Linked DNA regions of Anolis sagrei. The protein of the gene in region 2 purifies or fractionates together with the protein of the main gene of each other region. This does not show direct contact. Links are inferred from orthologs where the notes say so. Each region holds a gene or a part of one and is shown on either strand. Other genes may lie near its edges.

The links.
Region 1: the proteins of RAB13 (region 2) and GDI1 purify together in Homo sapiens (affinity purification with mass spectrometry; 4 studies listed by BioGRID and IntAct, counting the BioPlex papers as one, with this or other methods). This does not show direct contact. The link is inferred for Anolis sagrei from reciprocal best matches to the Homo sapiens genes RAB13 and GDI1.

What each region holds. Positions count from the first base shown.
Region 1 is NC_090022.1:174,393,777-174,403,934, reverse strand, and holds the start of GDI1 (rab GDP dissociation inhibitor alpha), read left to right. Parts: upstream 1-6,153; 5' UTR 6,154-6,336; coding exon 6,337-6,381; intron 6,382-10,158. UniProt on the Homo sapiens protein: Regulates the GDP/GTP exchange reaction of most Rab proteins by inhibiting the dissociation of GDP from them, and the subsequent binding of GTP to them. Promotes the dissociation of GDP-bound Rab proteins from the membrane and inhibits their activation.
Region 2 is NC_090032.1:665,952-676,494, reverse strand, and holds the start of RAB13 (ras-related protein Rab-13), read left to right. Parts: upstream 1-5,671; 5' UTR 5,672-5,939; coding exon 5,940-6,066; intron 6,067-7,822; coding exon 7,823-7,883; intron 7,884-8,331; coding exon 8,332-8,392; intron 8,393-8,643; coding exon 8,644-8,721; intron 8,722-10,221; coding exon 10,222-10,311; intron 10,312-10,543. Other genes in the region: RPS27 (small ribosomal subunit protein eS27), read right to left, coding at 336-444, 2,995-3,000; guanine nucleotide exchange factor subunit RIC1-like, read right to left, coding at 3,055-3,146, 3,232-3,410, 3,502-3,679, 4,861-5,054, 5,255-5,433.

The DNA.
Region 1 (10,158 bases), on a different chromosome or scaffold from region 2:
GTCTCCATTAGCTGCCACAGTGAGTGTGGGCGATCATAAGACATTCATTTCCTATAAACTTGTGAGGTAGTCAAGCAAAGTAAGTATATCTCATCTCAAGGCCTAAGTACCCTAATCATAGCAGATCCTGTCTCTAATTGGAAGCTAAGCAAGGCCTAGGTTTGCATGGATGGGAAACATCGAATGAATACCAGGGCTATATTTCAGACCATTTCCGTTACCTTGGCAGCCACCTCTCCACCAAAGTCAACATCGACACCGAAATACAACAGGGCCTGAGGTCTGCGAGTGAAGCATTTTTCTGAATGAAGCAGAGTGTTTGAGGATCAGGACATCCGTAGGGATACCAAGGTGCTTATTTATAAAGCTATTGTCCTCCCAACCTTGCTATATGCCTGCGAAACGTGGACTGTCTACAGACGTCACATGCAACTCCTGGAAGGATTCCATCAGCGCTGCCTCTGGAAAATCCTGCAAATCTCTTGAGAAGACAAGCGGACAAATGTCAGTGTGCTGGAAGAAGCAAAGACCACCAGCATTGAAGCAATGGTCCTCCGCCATCAACTCCGCTGGACCGGCCACATTGTCCGGATGCCCGACCACCGTCTCCCAAAGCAGTTGCTCTACTATGAACTCCAGAACGGAAAACGGAATGTTGGAGGACAGGAAAAGAGATTTAAAGATGGGCTCAAAGCCAGCCTTAAAAACTCTGGCATAGACACTGAGAACTGGGAAGCCCTGGCCCTTGAGCGCTCCAGCTGGAGGTCAGTTGTGACCAGCAGTGCTGCAGAATTTGAAGAGGCACGAATGCAGACAAAGAGAAATGTACCAAGCCGCCTTCCACCTGGAAACCAATGCCCTCACTCCAGGAGGAGATGCAGGTTAAGAATAGGGCTCCACAGCCACAAGAATACAGATCATGGAAGACTATCCTACTTGTCCAACGAGGGATTGCCTAAGTAAGTAAGTATATTTCAGAGGAAGGAACTGGCAAAACTCCTTGTCTAAGAAAATCCTATTAAATTCACAGAGTTACCATAGATTGACAGGTGAATTGAAAGTATGCATGCATACATATACAAAGTTATATCTGGCAACGCTACACAAATATATTGGGTTATTTTTTACAGGTTTAAAGTAAATTGTTCTAGAGAATTAGTCCTACACAAGGAGCTGTTAGCAGAGGATGTTCATTTCCTTTGAAAGTGGATTTCCTTGTGATGATGACCAGATGCAAAGGAAGACAGAGAAGGGCTCCTTTTGTGAAGGAGGAATTAGGCAGTGGGGTGCTTTCCTAGCCATCCTGCCTTTCCCAGCATTGCTACAGAAAGGAGCAAGGGCTTTGTTCTTTTCTGTTGCCTTTCTCATGGGTGGGGCAGCGGTGAGCATTTGAGCTCTGCGGGGCTACAAATACAAGAATACAAATACAGGAATACACACGGTTGCCAAACGCATGTGTGCATGCGCATTCTCCTTCGTTACCACTGGCAACAGGATGTCAGAACAACCATTAGCTGGCTTTGCTTTCACCAGCAAAGCCATTGGAGTGCCAAGCAAATGTATCCTGACCCCACCTTCCACTCATGCTTTAAACAGTTGAGCCCTGTTGCTTTCTTGTGAGTAAACACACCACAAACTGCACACTGACTATTCCTCCTCTCCATCCCCTGAAGGAGTGAGAGAGGCAACCCTGTGGAAAGCAAAGATGCCCATGAAATGCCCCATTGGTCTTGCTGGGAGCATCTTCGACGCTTCACCCAGATTATAAAATGAGGCAATGTTTGATGCAACTGGGAGTATTTTAGGAAGGTTGTGCGTGGTTCTTTTGCGGACGAGGATTACCGTGCTTTTCTTGAATTTGTAATCAGATGGGAGATTGGGAAGAAGGAAATACAGTCCTAAGGCGGGCTTATTTTCTCCTCCCTTTACAAATGTACAATGTATAATGTGTATGTGTTTTTTTTCTAATGTAAATATATATTTTCAGTACACACTATATTTTTAAAAGGAGAAAATGGGCCTTCAGGGCGAAAAATCTCTCATCTTCCATTGGTTGCAGTGTTTTGTGTGTGTGTGTGTGTACACACACACACACTTAATTTTTTAAAAGGAGACGACAATGGACTCTTCAGAACAATGTTTACTCCTCCCGTTTGGTTGCGATGCTTTATGTGTCTGCATGTATACTGACTGTGTATATAGAATCAGAGTTGGGTCGCTCATCTAGTCCAACCCCCTGCCATGCAGGAAAAGCACAATCAAAGTAGCCCCAACAGATGGCCATCCAGCCTCTGTTTCAAAGCTTCCAAGGAAGGTGCCTCTACTGCATTCCAAGGCAAAGTGTTCCACTGTTGAATAATAATAATAATAATAATAATAATAATAAGAAGAAGAAGAAGAAGAAGAAGAAGAAGAAGAAGAAGAAGAAGAAGTGGGTTAAACCCTTGTGCCAGCAGGACTGAAGACTGACAGGTGCTAATCCGGGGAGAGGTGGATGAGTTCCCACTATCAGCTCCAGCTCTTCATGCGGGGACATGAAAGAAGCCTCCCACGAAGATGACAAAACATCAAAATCATCCGGGCGTCCCCTGGGCAATGCCCTTGAGAGAAGCCTCCCACAAGGATGATAAAACATCAAATCATCTGGGCTTTCCCTGGGCAACGTCCTTGCAGACGGCCAATTCTCACACACCAGAAGCAACTTGCGGTTTCTCAGGTTGCTCCTGACATGACAAATAATAATAACAATAACAACAACAATAATAATAATAAGTGCCACCTGCCAGCAGTAAATAATAGGTGGGATCATAAACCTGCAAAGGTCATGGAAAATGAGCATACAAAAATACTGTGGGACTTTCAAAGCCAGACTGTTAAAGTTTTCGAAGCCAGACTGATAAAGTTTTGGAACACAACACACCAGACGATTGTGGAAAAGAAAAAAGTCTGGATTATTGATGTCACCATTCCAGGTGACAGTCGCATTGAGGAAAAACAACAGAAAAAACTCAGCCACTCTGACCTCAAAATCGAACTGCAAAGGCTCTGGCATAAACCAGTACAGGTGGTCCCAGTGGTCAATGGTGCACTAGGTGCCGTGCCAAAAGATCTCAGCCAGCATTTGGAAACAATAAACATCGACAAAATCACGATCTGTCAACTGCAAAAGGCCACCTTACTTGGATCTGCGCGCATAATTCGAAAATACATCACACAGTCCTAGACGCTTAAGAAGTGTCCGACTTGTGATTTTGTGATACGAAATTCAACATATAGATTTCGTTTGCTGTGACATACTGTGCTTTTGTGTCAGTAAAATAATAATAAAAAACGTTATTTGTACCCCGCCACCTTCTTGTCAAAGAGGACTCAGGGCAGCTTGAGACCAAGCCCAAAGGTACAATGCAGCAAAATAAAATACAAAATGCAGACAACAAAAATACATCAGAATAAAATACATACAATAGCAAAAATAAATAAATAAATAAAGCAAATTGATATAATATAAAACCAAACGGGCCAAATGGACGAGGTAAAATGATAAAACCCTAGATGAAGTTGAATAGAAAATGTGTAATTGAGAGGAGCCCAAAAAAGATGAATAGTGGGTTTAGGCTTTTAGTTTAGGACGGGGGAAAGTGCATCATAGGGCAACACTATAAATGGAATAAACAGAAATGGGATAAATGGTTACTCTCCAAAGGCACATCAGAGGAGCAAAGTTTTCAAAGTTGTTTTGAAGGCTACTAAGGTAGGGGCTTGCCTAATCTCACCGGGTAGTGAGTTCCAAAGTTGGGGGGCCACAGCGGATTCCTATATATATATGTTTTGGTATGCAGATTCCTTTACTCTATGGTTCCTGAGAAGTTATAAAAGGGACTTCTGGTTGCTTCTGGAGATACTTATTCTGCATAGAATTATGGAAAATATAGACCCCTGTCTGATCCCACAGCAAGCTGGCTTCAGGAAAGGCAAAAGCTGCACATTGCAAGTGCTGACCCTGACTCAGCACATAGAAGATGGCTTTGAAAGGCAGCAGATCACAGGAGCTGTCTTCATAGACTTGTCAACAGCCTATGATACTGTGAACCACCGCCTCCTCCTGAGAAAAATGTTTAATATCACAAAGGATTACCACCTCACCCGCCTCATAGGAAACCTGCTACAAAACAGGAGCTTTTTAGTTGAGTTCCAGGGCCAGAGAAGCAGATGGCGGAAACAGAAGAACGGCCTGCCTCAGGGGAGCGTGCTTGCTCCATCCATGTTCAACATCTACACAAATGGCGAGCCACTGCCAGAAGGGACAGAGAGTTTCATCTATGCTGATGATCGTGCCATTACTGCTCAAGCAGGGAGCTTTGAGATGGTAGAACAGAAGCTCTCTGAAGCTCTAGGTGCTCTTACTGCCTATTACAGGGAAAACCAGCTGATCCCTAACCCATCTAAAACACAGACATGTGCCTTTCACCTTAATAACAGACAAGCATCTGGGAAGGAATCCCACTGGAGCATTGCAGCACACCCAAATACCTGGGAGTCACTCTGGACCGTGCTCTGACCTACAAGAAGCACTGCCTGAACATCAAGCAAAAAGTGGGTGCTAGAAACAATATCATACAAAAGCTGACTGGCATAACCTGGGGATCACAACCAGATACAGTGAAGACATCTGCCCTTGCGCTATGCTACTCTGCTGCTGAGTACGCATGCCCAGTGTGGAACACATCTCACCACACTAAAACAGTAGATGTGGCTCTTAATGAGACATGCCGCATTATCACGGGGTGTTTGCGCCCTACACCACTGGAGAAATTACACTGCTTAGCTGGTATTGCACCACCTGACATCTGCCAGGAAGTAGCAGCCAATAGTGAAAGGACCAAGGCAGAGACATCTCCAGCTCATCCCCTGTTTGGGTATCAGCCAGCACGTCAACGACTTAAATCAAGACATAGTTTTCTTAGATCTACAGAGACACTCGCTGGAACGCCTCAGCAAGCGAGAGTCCAAAAGTGGCAGGCTCAAACCCAGCACCTCAATCCATGGGTGATACCAGATGAGAGACTCCCCCCTGGACACACAGAAGACTGGGCGACTTGGAAGGCGCTGAACAGACTGCGCTCTGGCACCACGAGATGCAGAGCCAACCTTCAGAAATGGGGCTACAGAGTGGAATTCACGACATGCGAGTGTGGAGAAGAGCAAACCACAGACCACCTGCTGCAATGCAACCTGAGCCCTGCTACATGCGCAATGGAGGACCTTCTTACTTGGAGCAACACCAGAGGCACCAGAGGCATTCCAAGTGGCCCGATACTGGTCAAAGGACATTTAATCAAACTACTAAACTCACAAATTTTGTATTTTGTCTGTTTGTTTGCTTTGTTCTGTTAGAAATGTAATATAATTTGACTGGTTGCTCTGACACGACAAATAAATAAATAAATAAATGGATACTGTTGGCATTGAATTGTTGCCTGCGTTAGCCGCCCTGAGTCCCCCCTCAGGGGTGAGAAGGACGGGGTAGAAATGGTCTAAATAAATAAATAAAGGAGATTCCATCTGAACACGAGGAAGAACTTCCTGATTGTGAGAGCCGTTCAGCAGTGGAACTCTCTGCCCTGGTTTGTGGTAGAGGCTCCATATTTTGAGGCCTTTAAACATGAGGAAGAACTTCCTGGCTGTGAGAGCTGTTCAGCAGTGGAACTCTCTGCCTCGGTGTGTGGTGGAGGCTCCTTCTTTGGAGGCTTTTAAACAGAGGCTGCATGGCCATCTGCTGAGGGTGCTTTGAATGAGATTTTCCTGCTTCTTGGCAGGGGGTTGGACTGGATGGCCCATGAGGTCTCTTCCAACTCTTTGATTCTATGATTCTATATATATGTATAGAGAGAGAGAGAGATAGAGAGAGAGATAGATACACACAGAGATGTATGCATATACTAGAACCCATCCTTGCAGTGAGGTTTCCATGGTGAAGGCAGGCCTGACAAGCCCCCTCCTCCTCCTGCCCTCAGCTGATGACAGGGAGAAACAGGGGCCGGAACTCGTTTCCCATCCTCTCTCTGCGCTGAGGCTGTGGCCAGAACACGGCGGAGGGGCACACTCCCACCCCTCGCCCTTTTCTCCATCCGCCTCCTTTGGAAAAAGGGGCGCGAGGATCCAGTTCACCCTCCCTTTTCCAAGGCGGAGCGATCTCTGCTTTCTCTCTCGGCTCTGGGACTCGTTTATTTTCCCCGGCGGGGTGATCCGCTCGGCGCGGTGGTGCGGCTCCATCTTGGCTCCGCTCGGGGCGGGGGCTCCGCGGCCGGGACCACCACCGTCACCACTACCACCACCATGGACGAGGCCTACGACGTGATCGTGCTGGGCACCGGCCTGACCGTGAGTCTCACCGGGGAAGGGCCAGGGGCGGCCCGCCTGTGGGGACTCCTTTTCCTCCGCCACCGCCGCATCCCAGCCTCCCTTCCCTTCCATTGCAGGCAGGATGCAGCGTCGCCCTTCCTTGATGCAATGGGGAGGGGGAGACCTTGCATTGCAATGGGATGGATGGGGATGGATGGGGCATCTTTCTATTTTTATTTTTCCAAGCACCCACTTCCATATTTCTCCTGCAATAATAATAATAATAATAATAATCATAATTTATATTGCAATCGGATTATGGAGATGGGGCATCAGTTTTTATTTTTCCAATAATAATAATAATAATAATAATAATAATTTGTATTATTTATATTGCAATGGGATGGTGGGGATGGGACATCTATTTTTTTTATTTTTTTCCAAGCACCCACTTCCATATTCCTCCTGCAATAATAATAATAATAATAATAATAATAATAATAATAATTATTTATATCACAATCGGATTATGGAGATGGGGCATCAGTTTTTATTTTTCCAATAATAATAATAATAATAATAATAATAATAATTTGTATTATTTATATTGCAATGGGATGGTGGGGATGGGGCATCTATTTTTTTTTATTTTTTTCCAAGCACCCACTTCCATATTCCTCCTGCAATAATAATAATAATAATAATAATAATAATTTATATTGCAATGGGATTATGGAGATGGGGTATCTGTTTTTATTTTTCCAATAATAATAATAATAATAATAATAATACTTTGTATTATTTATATTGCAATGGGATGGTGGGGATGGGGCATCTGTTTTTGTTTTTTCCCAAGCATCCACTTCCATATTCCTCCTGCAATAATAATAATAATAATAATAATAATTTATATTGCAATCGGATTATGGAGATGGGGCATCAGTTTTTATTTTTCCAATAATAATAATAATAATAATAATTTGTATTATTTATATTGCAATAGGATGGTGGGGATGGGGGCATCTATTTTTTATTTTTTTCCATGCACCCACTTCCATATTCCTCCTGCAATAATAATCATCATAATAATTTGTATTATTTATATTGCAATGGGATGGTGGGGATGGGGCATCTGTTTTTGTTTTTTTTCCAAGCACCCACTTCCATATTCCTCCTGCAATAATAATAATAATAATACTTCGTATTATTTATTTTGCAATGGGATGGTGGGGATGGGGCATCTGTTTTTTTATTTTTCCAAGCATCCACTTTCTTATTTCTCCTGCAATATATTATTATTATTATTATTACAATAGGATGGTGGATCGTGCATTACAATGGAATGGTGGAGATGGGGCATCTATTTTTATTTTTTTTCAAGCACCAATTTCCTTAATCATCCTGCAATAATAATAATAATAATAATAATAATAATATATTGCAACAGGATGGTGGAAATTGTGCCTTTATTTTTTTTCCCCAAGCACTCATTTTCTTATTTCTTCTGCAATATAAATGATAGTGATTATAATAATAACAACAGCCAGCAGAGTGTCTGCTGTGGACTCATCTTGTTGTGTTTCTAATAATAATAATAATAATAATAATAATAATAATAATTTGTATTATTATTTATATTGCAATGAGATGGTGGAGATGGTGCATTTATTATTATATTTTTTCCAAGCACCCACTTCCTTATTTCTCCTGCAATATTATTATTAATAATAATTTATATTGCAGTGGGATGATAGATCATGCATTCCAATGGGATGGTGGAGATGGTGCATTTATTTATTTATTTATTCCAAGCATCTACTTCCTTATTTCTCCTGCAATATACATTAATAATATTATTATTATTACAATGGAATGGTGGGAATGGTGCCTTATATTTTTTTATTCCTTATTTCTCGTGCAATATAAATAATAATTGTTATTTGGATTATTTGTATTGCAATGGGATGGTGGATCGTGCATTGCATTTTTTATTTTTCCAAGCACCCACTTCCTTATTCCTCCTGCAATATAAATAATAATAATATGATGATAATAATAATAATAATAATAATAATAATAATAATAATAATTGTCCTTCCATGCTGTGTATGTGGATTTCCACCTCATTGGCTCTGTTCTCCTAATGGAAATGGGTTTGGCCCCATTGCAGCTCCTCTGATGCAACCCTCCATCCATCCTCAATGTCTGGGTACCAATTGCAAAGCCTCTTTCTCTCTCCTTCCTTCTTTCCTTCCGTCCGTCCTTCCTTCCCTCCCTCCCTCCCTTCTTTTCCTTCTTTACTTTCATCCTCCCCTTCCTTATTTCCCTTCACTCTCTTCTCTTCCTTCCAACATTTTGGCCAGATCCTTCTTATTTCCAACCCATCCCTTGTCTTTAAGATAACAATCCTTGTGTAGCAGACAGTGTTTCCTTCTGTGCTTATTTCAGTGCTGCCAATTGCCCCGGGCGCTCTGTTGGTTGGCAGCATAGAAAATGGGAAGAAAACGACAATAGCATTGCTGCAGTTCCTAAGGTCTGCATAGCATCCCTCTCTCGACATCCCTCATCTCCGATTCCCAAAGTCTGGAGTCACAATATGGGAAGTCCACCCCGTTATCAGTATCTCAAGATTGAAGGGTCTTGCAGAGCAAGGCCAAATCCTGGTGCAGATGTGTGTGTGCACCTACTATTGCAGGCTTGGACAGGGCACAACCCCCTCCTCAGTATGCGGTTCTTCAGATGTTGTCCATGGTTCTGCAAGTCTTCTGGCTATCTAAGGTCCCATGCTTTTCCCACTCTGAATTTTGGTACTGCCTATGACATCTAAGGTCAATGTTTTATATATATATATCTCCACACACACCAAGGATAATTTTATTCTCATTTTCCATATTCTTGTAATCCAGAAAGGAGACTTGGGGTGACATCAAGGGTGTCAAAGCCATTTTCATCAAAAGCCACACCAACCTTATGATTGGGTTGTTGTAGGTTTTTTCGGGTTATATGGCCATGTTCTAGAGGCATTCTCTCCTGACGTTTCTTATGATTGCCTTCAAAGGGCCGTTGCATCCATGGCAGAGAATCCATGGCTACAGAGGACTAGCTAATTTTTTTTTACATTGTTGGTGTTCTTTAGTTTTTATCCGTTTGGCTTCCCAGGTGTTATTGAACGACAACTGCCATCACTGTGATTATCCACTGACTGAGAATAATGGGAATTGCAACCCAACAGCACTTATAGATCTGAAGTTGAGGAAAGGTTGAACGGCATTTTAAAATCAGATATCATATCCATAACCCTTGTATTTAAATTCAGACCCCACTCTCCTGACTGAAGAAAACACTTTTCAACCTTCCAGATGTTGCTGTATCACAACTCCTATCAGCTCTCAATTCATCATGATGTCTAAGATGAGGAAGACAACTTGTAGTTCAGCATCTGGAAGAGGGCCACATAAAACAACATGGCGGGTGAAATTCATCCTGTGGGATTTGAGTTTGACACAAGTCACTGTAGAATTACCGTATATTCTGGTGTATAAGACTACTTTTACCCAAGAAAATCTTCTCAAAAGTCAGGGGTCATCTTATATGCGGTGTCGTCTTATACGCTGGAGTGGCCTTATACATGGGAGTCATCTTATATGCAGGGGTAGTCTTATACGCCAGGAGTCGTCTTATAGAGTGGGTGCTGAAACCCAATCAAATTGGAGAATCTGTGGTTGCCGCATATGGTGGGAAGCTCAAAAATGGCAATGGCCGTGTCCCTGCCATATGAATACGTCAATATACATAATGAGATATTGAGGAGATGGG
Region 2 (10,543 bases):
TCAGAGTCTAAAATCCACGCAACTGTAGTCAACCTGGAATGTAGGGCTGGAAAGGAAACTTCAACCAGGGAGTATTTGCCGAGAGGCAATGCCATGAAGACACGACAACGTACATAGGAAGCCATTCTTAAAACGGGAGCAACCCATTTGCCAGAGAGCAATGCAATCACGTGGATGAGGAAGTAAACAGAGAAGTGGCAGACTGGCCTTCTGCAAAGCAAAGTTCAACCACCAACACTGAATCCGAAGGTGAATTATGTAATGTGGCCTCTTCTGGCAATTCAGTGCAGGAGCCCAAAGGTACTGAGGAGGAGATGGGTGTGGGCCGGGCCTACCTGGACACTTGACGTCCATGAAGTAGGAGTTGGGGCTCTGGACCAGGCGCTTCTTCTTGTGCTTCCGCTTCTCCTCCTCAGGGGAGGGATGCAAGAGGTCCTTTGCGAGCTGCAGGGAAAAGAAAGCCAAAGCAAGGGCCGCCTCAGGCAGAGACCAACCCAAGCCCCCCGTTTCCCTTCCCCGTTCCTCCAAGGGTTCAAGGCCAGCCTCACTGAGGCAGGGGCCAGGCAGCCCGGAAAACTCACAGCAACCCAAGAATATAAGCACGCTCAGTCTGGGCTATAAATCAATACTGGAGATAATAATAATAATAATAATAATAATAATAAGCATGCTCATGGAAACCTAGAGTTGGAAGAGACCTCGTGGGCCATCCAGTCCAACCCCCTGCCAAGAAGCAGGACAATAGCATTCAAAGCACCCCCCATCTGTGCTGTTAATTAATCCTGGAAATAATAATAAGATTAATCATCATCATCATCATCATGCTCATCTGTGCTATTAATTAATCCTGGAAATAATAATAAAAACAATAAGGAGGAGGAGAAGCATGCTATTAATTAATCCTGAAAATAATATTAATAATAGTCATAATCATGCTCATCTGTGCTATTAATTAATCCTGAAAATAGTAATAACAAGAAAGAGTAATAACAAGAAGAAGCATGCTATTAATTAATCCTGTAAATAATAATAATATTAATAATAATCATAATCATGCTCATCTGTGCTATTAATTAATCCTGGAAATAATAGTAGTAAGGAGGAGGAGGAGGATGCTCAGTCTGTGCTATTAATTAATGCTGTAAATAATCAATAATCATAAGCATGCTCATCTGTGCTATTAATTAATCCTGGAAATAGTAGTAGTAGTAATAATAATAATAATAATAATAATAAGCATGCTCATCTGTGCTATGAATCCTGGAAATAATAGTAGTAATAATAAGAAGAAGTATGCTCAGTCTGTGCTATTAATTAATCCTGGAAATAATAATAAGAAGCATGCTCATCTGTGCTATTAATTAATCCTGGAAAAAATAGTAGTAGTAGTAGTAGTAGTAGTAGTAGTAATAATCATTAGCATGCTCATCTGTGCTATGAATCCTGGAAATAATAATAATAATAATAAGAAGTATGCTCAGTCTGTGCTATTAATTATTCCTGGAAATAATAATAATCAATAATCATAAGCATGCTCAACTGTGCTATTAATTAATCCTGGAAATAATAATAACAAGCATGCTCATCTGTGCTATTAATTAATCCTGGAAAAAATAGTAGTAGTAGTAGTAGTAGTAATAATAATAATAAGCATGCTCATCTGTGCTATGAATCCTGGAAATAATAGTAATAATAATAAGAAGTATGCTCAGTCTGTGCTATTAATTATTCCTGGAAATAATAATAATCAATAATCATAAGCATGCTCATTTGTGCTATTAATTAATCCTGGAAATAATAGTAGTAATAATAATAATCATCATCATAAGCATGTTCATCTGTGCTATTGATTAATCCTGGAAATAATAATAATAATAATAATAATAAGCATGCCCTCCCTCCAGATCTCCTGCCAGAGACTCAAAGCGGCTTAACATGAAAGCATCAGCACACTATTTCAAATCTACAAACATTCAAACATAACTGGATATCAATGGTATTTTAAAAGTCAAGTTAAAATCCATACAAACGTATATTTGAAGCTAAAAACCCGGGTCAAAACCTAATTTCAAAGCCTGACTGAATGGAAAGGCTTTGGCCTACAGTTGGAAGGAAGGAAGGGCAGCTGGGAGGGAGCCCCAACCTTGGATTAGCATTATAATGGCTTTGCAGCTTCAAAGCCTGGCTGCTTCCTGCGGGGGGGGGGGATCCTTTGTTGGGAGGTGTTAGCTGGCTCTGATATAACCCCCACTTGCAGACCTCACCACCTCTGAGGATGCCTTTATAGTCATAGATGCAGGCGAAACGTCAGGAGAGAGTACTTCTAGAATATGGCCATATAGGTCAAAAAAACCACAGCGATCCCAGCCACAAAAGCCTTCGACAATACTATTGCTATTGTCGTAAGGGATGCTGGATCTAGGCTATAAATTAATCCAGGAAACAATGATAGTAATAATAATAATAGTATGTACTTATAACCTGAGCCAAAGATGTAGGCGAAACGTCAGGAGAGAGTGCTTCTAGAATCTGACCAAAAAACCCACAGTGATTCCAGCCAGTGTGGGTTATTTTTAATTTTAATTACTATTAATGTCATAAGGGACGCTGGATCTATGTGATAATTAGTTAATTAATCCCGGAAATAATGATGATTATTATTATTGGGAGTGAGAGAAGGACGGGCCTCTGCTGAGGGGGATCTCAAAAAGGCCCAAAAGCCTCTCCTTGATTTACAATACTTTCCTTAATATGTGATGGTATACAATCTTAGTAATGGTGGAGGCCCAAACCATCCCTTCCCTCCTCCTCCGCCCCCAAAGCAGCCACGTCCGCCATTTTGTGCCTGGCTCCTTCGGCCTTCGGAGAGGCAGCGGCCTGGGCTGGCCCGAGCGGCCGGGCGCGGCGCCTCCTCGGCGGGGGGCGCTGCCAGGAAAGGCCGCGGCGTGGGGCGAGGCCTAGCGCGGCCTGAACGAGGGAGAGAGAGAGACTCACAGGCATGTCCGCGTGGAGGCAGCGACGGCCGGAAAGGAGCCACGCCGGAAAGAGAGGGCGCTATATCCGCTCGGCGCGGGGTTTCCCCGGAGGGAGGCCGGAAGTCGAGGGGAAAGGGGGCGGGGCGGAGACTGACCACGCCCCGCCCTCCACTGCGCAGGCTCAGCGGCGCCATCTTGAGGAGGGGAAAGGAGGGGAGGCCGCCATGATGGGAGGGAAAGAGGGAAACAGGCCTACATGCATAGATAGATAGATAGATAGATAGATAGATAGATAGATAGATAGATAGATAGATAGATAGATAGATAGATAGATAGATAGATAGATAGATAGATAGATAGAGAGATAGAGAGATAGAGAGATAGATAGATAGATAGATAGATAGATAGATAGATAGGAAGGAAGGAAGGAAGGAAGGAAGGAAGGAAGGAAGGAAGGAAGGAAGGAAGAAGGATGGATAGATTTATTTATTTACAGCATTTATATATCTCGGGACTTAAGATAGGAAGATAGATAGATAGATACATAGATAAGTAGATAGATAGATAGATAGATAAGAAGATAGATAGATAGATAGTTAAATAGATAAGTAGATAGAAAGATAGATAGATAGATAGATAGATAGGTAAATACATAGATAAGTAGATAGATAAATAAATAGATAGATAGATAGATAGATAGGTAAGTAGATAGATAAGTAGATAGAAAAATAGGTAGGTAGGTAGATAAATAGATAGGTAAATAGATAGATAAGTAGGTAGGTAGGTAGATAAGTAGTTAGATAGATAAATGGATTGATTTTCATCTTGTCTCCTGCCTATGTGTCATCAGTCTCCTGTGCTATGTTAATAATATAATATATTGTATATTATATTATTTATTTATAATATTATAATGTAACATAATACACTACTAATAATAAGATATTAAAATTATATATTTTATAAGACATGTAATATTATTAATATTACAATATAACGGTATAGTACAATATAGTAACATATAATACTGGTATTGTATTATGCTAATAATATAGCATATTGTATGTATATCTATCTTGTAAGCTGCTCTGAGTCCCCTTCGGGGTGAGAAGGGCAGCATAGAAATGTCTTAAATAAATACATAAATAGATAGATAGATAGGTAGGTAGGTAGGTAGATAGATAGATAGGAATATAAATGGAAAGCTGGATGGATGGATGGATGGATGGATGGATGGATAGGAAGGAAGATAGATAGATTGATTGATAGATAAGAAAATAGGAAGACTGGAAGGAAGGAAGATGGATTTATAGATAGATAGGAAGATAGATAGGAAGGTAGATAGATAGCTAGATAGATGGATAGAGGTAGGAAGGAAGGAATGTAGATAGATAGGAAGAGAGACAGAAAGATGGGAAGGAAAGAAAGATAGATAGATGAATAGATATGAAGATAGATGGATAGACAGACAGACAAATAGATACAGATAGATGCATAGATAGATAGGAAGACAATTGAATACATGGATGGATTGATAAGATAGTTGGATAGATAGATAGATAGATAGATAGATGGATAGATAGGAAGAGTGATATTTAATTGTTTCTCCCTCAAGCAGACGATCCCTCTCTCAGCTAACAATTGAAACTCTGCAGATGGATGGATGGTTGGATGGATAGCTAGCTAGCTAGGTAGGTAGATGGATGGATGGATGAATGGATGTGTGGGTGGGTGGATAGATAGATGGATGGATGGGTGGGTGGGTAGGTAGGTAGGTAGATGCATGGATAGATGGGTGCATGGGTGGATAGATAGATAGGTAGATAGATGGTTGGATGGATGGATGGGTAGGTAGGTAGGTGCATGCATGGATGGATGGATGGATGGATAGATGGGTGGAGAGATGGGTGGATAGATAGGTAGATAGATAGATGGATGGATGGATAGGTGGATGATTGGATGGATGGGTATGTAGGTAGGTAGATGCATAGATATATGGATGGATGGATGGATGGATGGATAGATGGGTGGATGGATAGATAGATGGATAGGTAGATGGATGGTTGGATGGATGGGTAGGTAGGTAGGTGCATGCATGCATGGATGGATAGATGGGTGGATAGATAGGTAGATAGATAGATAGATAGATGGATGGATGGATGGATGGATAGGTGGATGATTGGATGGATGGGTACATAGGTAGGTAGATGCATAGATGTATGGATGGATGGATAGATAGATAGATAGATAGATAGATAGATAGATAGATGAATAGCTATGAAGACAGATGGATAGATAGATAGACAGACAGAGATAGGAAGATAGAAAGATAGATAAATACATGGATGGATGGATTGATTGATAGATGGATAGATGGATAGATAGATAGAGTGATATTTAATTGTCTCTCTCTCAAGCCGTCTCTCTCTCTCTTTTCCAGCAATTGAGACTCTGCCATGCCTATACATTCAAAGTGTATAAAACTCATAATTAAAACCGATGGAATCCTGATAGCCACAAAAGGCCTCTTGAACAACCTCACAGCGCATTTGTATAGTTCTAAACTGCACTGGCACGGGGATTGGGAAGGGAGGGGATCCTTGCTCAGCTTCCCTTGCAGTGAATGCACTCTGCACATGCTCATTGTCCCCCTCTTTTGTTTCCCCTTCTTCTTTTGCAGAGTTTGCTAGGGATGCCTGGAGCCTTCCTGCTTCCTGTCCTTCCTCTGGTCCTGCCTCCTTAACCCTTTCCTTTCCTGGAGGAAGTAACTTGGGAGGAAGCCGAGGGAGTGGACTCCGGGAAAAGGGGAAGAGGAGGAGGAGGAGGAGGAGGGAAGAAAGGAAGGGGAAAGGAGGAGAAGAGGAGGAGTTGTGGCATTTCCCCCCAGCTTGGGGACCCCTTCCTCCACTTCCTTCCTGGCCCTTCCTTCCTTGCTTCCTCCCTTCCTTCCTCTTCCTGGGGGCGATGATGGCCAAGTCCTACGACCACCTCTTCAAGGTGCTGCTGATTGGGGACAGTGGCGTGGGCAAGACCTGCCTCATCATCCGCTTCGCAGAGGACAACTTCAGCGGCACCTACATCTCCACCATTGGTAAGACAGGAGCAGAAGACCCCACCATCACCACCATCACCATCATCATCATCTGGATCATCATCATCATCATCATCATCATCATCATAGAGACAGGAATAATAATAATCATCATAATAATAATACATTCCTAGATGCAGAAGGGAAACCCCAAAGGGCATCCAGTCCAACCTCCATCCTGCCAGGAAGGAAAGCACAACGCCATTCCTCCCAACAGAAAGCCAGATAGTCTCCAAATAACAACAACAACAACAACAACAACAACAACAACAACAACAATAATAATACAATCCTAGAGGTGGGAGGGATCCCGGTAGGAAGGAAAGAATGAGGCTGGAAGGAAGGCACAATTCAATCCCTCCTGAGAGATGGCCAGCCAGACTCCTCATAATAATAATAGCAATAGGAATACTAATCATAATAGCAACAACAACAACAATAATAATAGAACCATATAACCCCAAAAGGCCATAAAATCCTAGACTTCAAAGGAAATAATAATAATAATAACAATAGAACCATACAACCCTAGAGTTGGAAGGGACCCTAAAGGCCACCCAGTCCAACCCCCTTCTGCCAGCCACCGAACGCACAACTCAATCCCTCCTAACAGATGGCCATCCAGCCTTTTTATTATTATATTACTAATAATATTACAATATAATGGTATAGTGCAATATAGTAATATATACTGATATTGTACTATGCTAATAATATAATATATTGTATGAAAATATATATTGTAAGCTGCTCTGAGTCCCCTTCAGGGTGAGAAGAGCGGCATATAAATGCTGTAAATAAATAAATAAATAAATTTGAATAATAGCAATAATAATAATAATAATAATAATAATAATAATAATGTCTGACATGTGATCCAATGCAACAACCAGCAGAGTGATCTTGTCTGCTGTGGACTCATCTTGTTTTGTTTATAATGATGATGATGATGATGATGATGATGATGATGATGATAGAAATGGGAGGGACCCTAAAGGCCACCTAGTCCAACCCCCTTTCCTGCCAGGCAGGAAGGTACAACTCAATATCTCCTAACAGATGTCCATCCAGCCTCTGAATAAAATAATAATAATAATAATAATAATAACAACAACAACAACAATAATAATAATAATAATAATAATAGCATCTGACGTGTGATCCAATACAACAGCCAGCATAGTGATCTTGTCTGCTGTGGACTTGTCTTGTTTTGTTAATAATAATAATAATAATAATAATAATAATAATAGAATTGGGACAGACCCTAAAGGCCACCTAGTCCAACCCCTTTCCTGCCAGGCAGGCAGGCACAACTCAATCTCTCCTAACAGATGGCCATCCAGCCTCTGAATAATAATAGCAGTAATAAAAATAATAATAATACAATACAACAGCCAGCAAAGTGATCTTGTTTGCTGTGGACTCATCTTGTTTTGTTTATAATCATAATCATAATCATAGAATTGGGAGGGACCCTAAAGGCCACCTAGTCCAACCCCTTTCCTGCCAGGCAGGCAGGCACATTTCAAGCTCTCCTAACAGATGTCCATCCAGCCTCTGAATAATAATAGCAGTAATAATAATAATAATAATAATAATAATACATCAGCCAGCAGAGTGATCTTGTTTGCTGTGGACTCATCTTGTTTTGTTTCTAATAATAATAATAATAGAAACCCTGAGCTTAAAAGTGTAATGGCTTCCTCCCTTTTCCTTCCTTCCTTCCTTCCTCCCTTCCTTCTTCCTCACCCAGGCATTGACTTCAAAATCCGGACCGTGGACATTGAGGGCAAGAGGATCAAGCTGCAGGTCTGGTAGGTCCCTTTCGGAGCCGCGCTTCTTCCCAAGCCGTGGCCGGGGAGCGGCACCTCCGGTTGCAAGGCTGCTCCATGCTTGTTGATCACAGAGTGCAAGCAGACCTCTCCTAGCCTGGCATGCCTGCTCTCTCCTCCCAGCAGCCCAAGAGAAACATTGAGGAGCCCGCAAGTTTCGGGTCTGATAGGAATGGTGGGAGTTGGTCTAGAACTGGTCTAGAACACCCGTTCTAGACCCTGCACCGTGTCTCTCCTAGCCCTCCATTGCATTCCCGCCCTCTCCTCCCAGCAGCCCAAGAGGGGCATTGAGGAGCCTTGGGTCTGATAGGAATGGTGGGAGTTGCAGTATAGAACAGGTCTAGAACACCTGTTCTAGACCCTGCAACATGTCTCTGGCTAGGAATGCGCATGGATCCGTGAGCGTGAGCATGCTTTGTTTCTCTTCCAGGGACACAGCCGGGCAGGAGCGGTTCAAGACCATCACCACCGCCTATTATCGGGGCGCCATGGTAGGACCCCAGCCCGCCCTTAGTGGCGCTAGAACTCCCCCCCCCCCCAGGTGTCGTTTGCGGGGATTTCTGTCTTACTTCTTTCCTGCCACACCACAGAATCACATAATAACCTTGGAAGGGACCCCAGGGGCCATCCAGTCCTCATGCAGGAAAAGCCCAGTCAAAACCCCCCCGACAGATGGCCACCCAGCCTCTGTTTAAACTGCTGCGAACGTGCCCTTCCTGGGTCTCTGTGTTCCACCTCGCAGGGCATCATCCTGGTCTACGACATCACCGACGAGAAGTCCTTTGAGAACATCCAGAACTGGATGAAGAGCATCAAGGAGGCAAGTCCCGTTTCCATGCATTTCCACCGTATGGAATGAATGTATATATGTTGTTAATCTTTGTGCTTTAATTATGTTGCACGCTGCCTTCGGCCGGGAGGAGAGCCGGGTAAGAAATAAAATAGAATGATTATTACATTATTATTATTATTATTATTATTATTATTATTTTACTGACACAAAAACACAGTATGTCACAGCAAATGAGATCTATATGTGTCAGGAGTCAATTTCTGACGGCATGAAAACATCACAAATTCCCTCCATGACCTCCTGACTGATCAATTCTCTCTCTGTGATATTCTGAAGCCAGCCGAGGACGCTGGAGACCATGTGTTGCATCCCAGATCAGGAAACGAGACCATAAGATCAAATCCACCACACTGGACTGTGGGGAAAAACAATCCTTTTTATTGATGAAAAATGGTTACAAAATAGAGGAAAATGCAAAGTCAAAAAGCCACAGTAGAAACTCAGCAGTCAGGAAAATCTCTGAACTTGAGCACAATTCCAAAAGCCACAATACAAAAACCTCGAACCTGTTAGCATCTCACTAACCATACTTGAAAACTAGAAGCCTCTGGAAATGCAGGCCATGGAACGCAGGAAATCTGCCAAGGTGTTGCCTCAGTCTAAACGATGCTTGATCTAACGAGACAGCCCGGGGAGAGGCCCCTTAAACCAAAGAAACTGTTTCTTGACACGCCTCCAGGCTTTGAAGCCTGAGCCTCCCTTTCCCTTAATCTACTTGACCTTCTCAGACTCTGTGATTCACTCCTGTTTCTCCAAATCTGTTCTCTTCGATCCTCATTAAAAAAAAACCCAGGTGTGAGTTCCTCTGGAGAGCTATCACCGCTTGGTTCCAAAACATCCTCATCAGGAAATTTAGTTTCATTTTCCCAGCCACTGCCCTCAGAATCAACAGTTTCCAAACCATCAGGGAAAGAGACATGTTCAGAGGCCTGTTCAGTTGCATCAGGAAATACAATTAGAGAATTGGGTTCAGGTTCACACAGAGATTGAGGCACAGGTTCGCACGGAGGCTGAACCCCAACACCAGGTTATGGAACTTGTGAAGCAACAAGTTCTAATAAGGAAACTGAGAAGAGGGGGAAGATGGGCAGAAAAGGTGTCTAAAAGGAAGTGGTGGTGGGAAAAAGTCCGTAGTGTCTTAATGTAAGACTGTAGGATCTATACAGCAATATTAAAGAACCACTCACAAGCCGTCTTTGCTGCAGAGATACCAGCCATATGTCCATTTCAAAGCAGAACCGGCTTGTGAGTGGATATTTAATATTGCTATTGAGATCCTACAGTCTTACAATATGCTGGATTATTATTATTATTATTATTATCATCATCACCACCACCACTACTACTACCATTGTTGTTGTTGTTATGTGTGCAAGGGGCCAGTGAATGGGGGGTGGCTGGGTACACAAGGGGTGCGTCTACACTGTCAAATGGATGCGGTTTGAGACCATCCCTCCCGTTGCGCAGAACGCGTCCTCGGGCGTGGAGCGGCTCCTCCTGGGAAACAAGTGCGACATGGAGGCCAAGCGCAAGGTGCCCCAAGACAAGGCCCAGAAGGTACCCAGGGGAAGGGGGCTTCGGGGGGGGGGGGGTCTCTCTCTCTCTCTCTTTGCCGGAAGACCTGGGTTCCTCACGGGTTCAGGAGGTTACTGGCACACCTCCCTGGCCTGGCTCCTCTGCTTTCATCCCTCTTCCCCCTCCCTCCCTTCCTTCCTTCCTTCCATCCATCCATCCATCCATCCATCCATCCATCCATCCTCTCTCTTTTCCTAACTTTATTCCTTCTCTC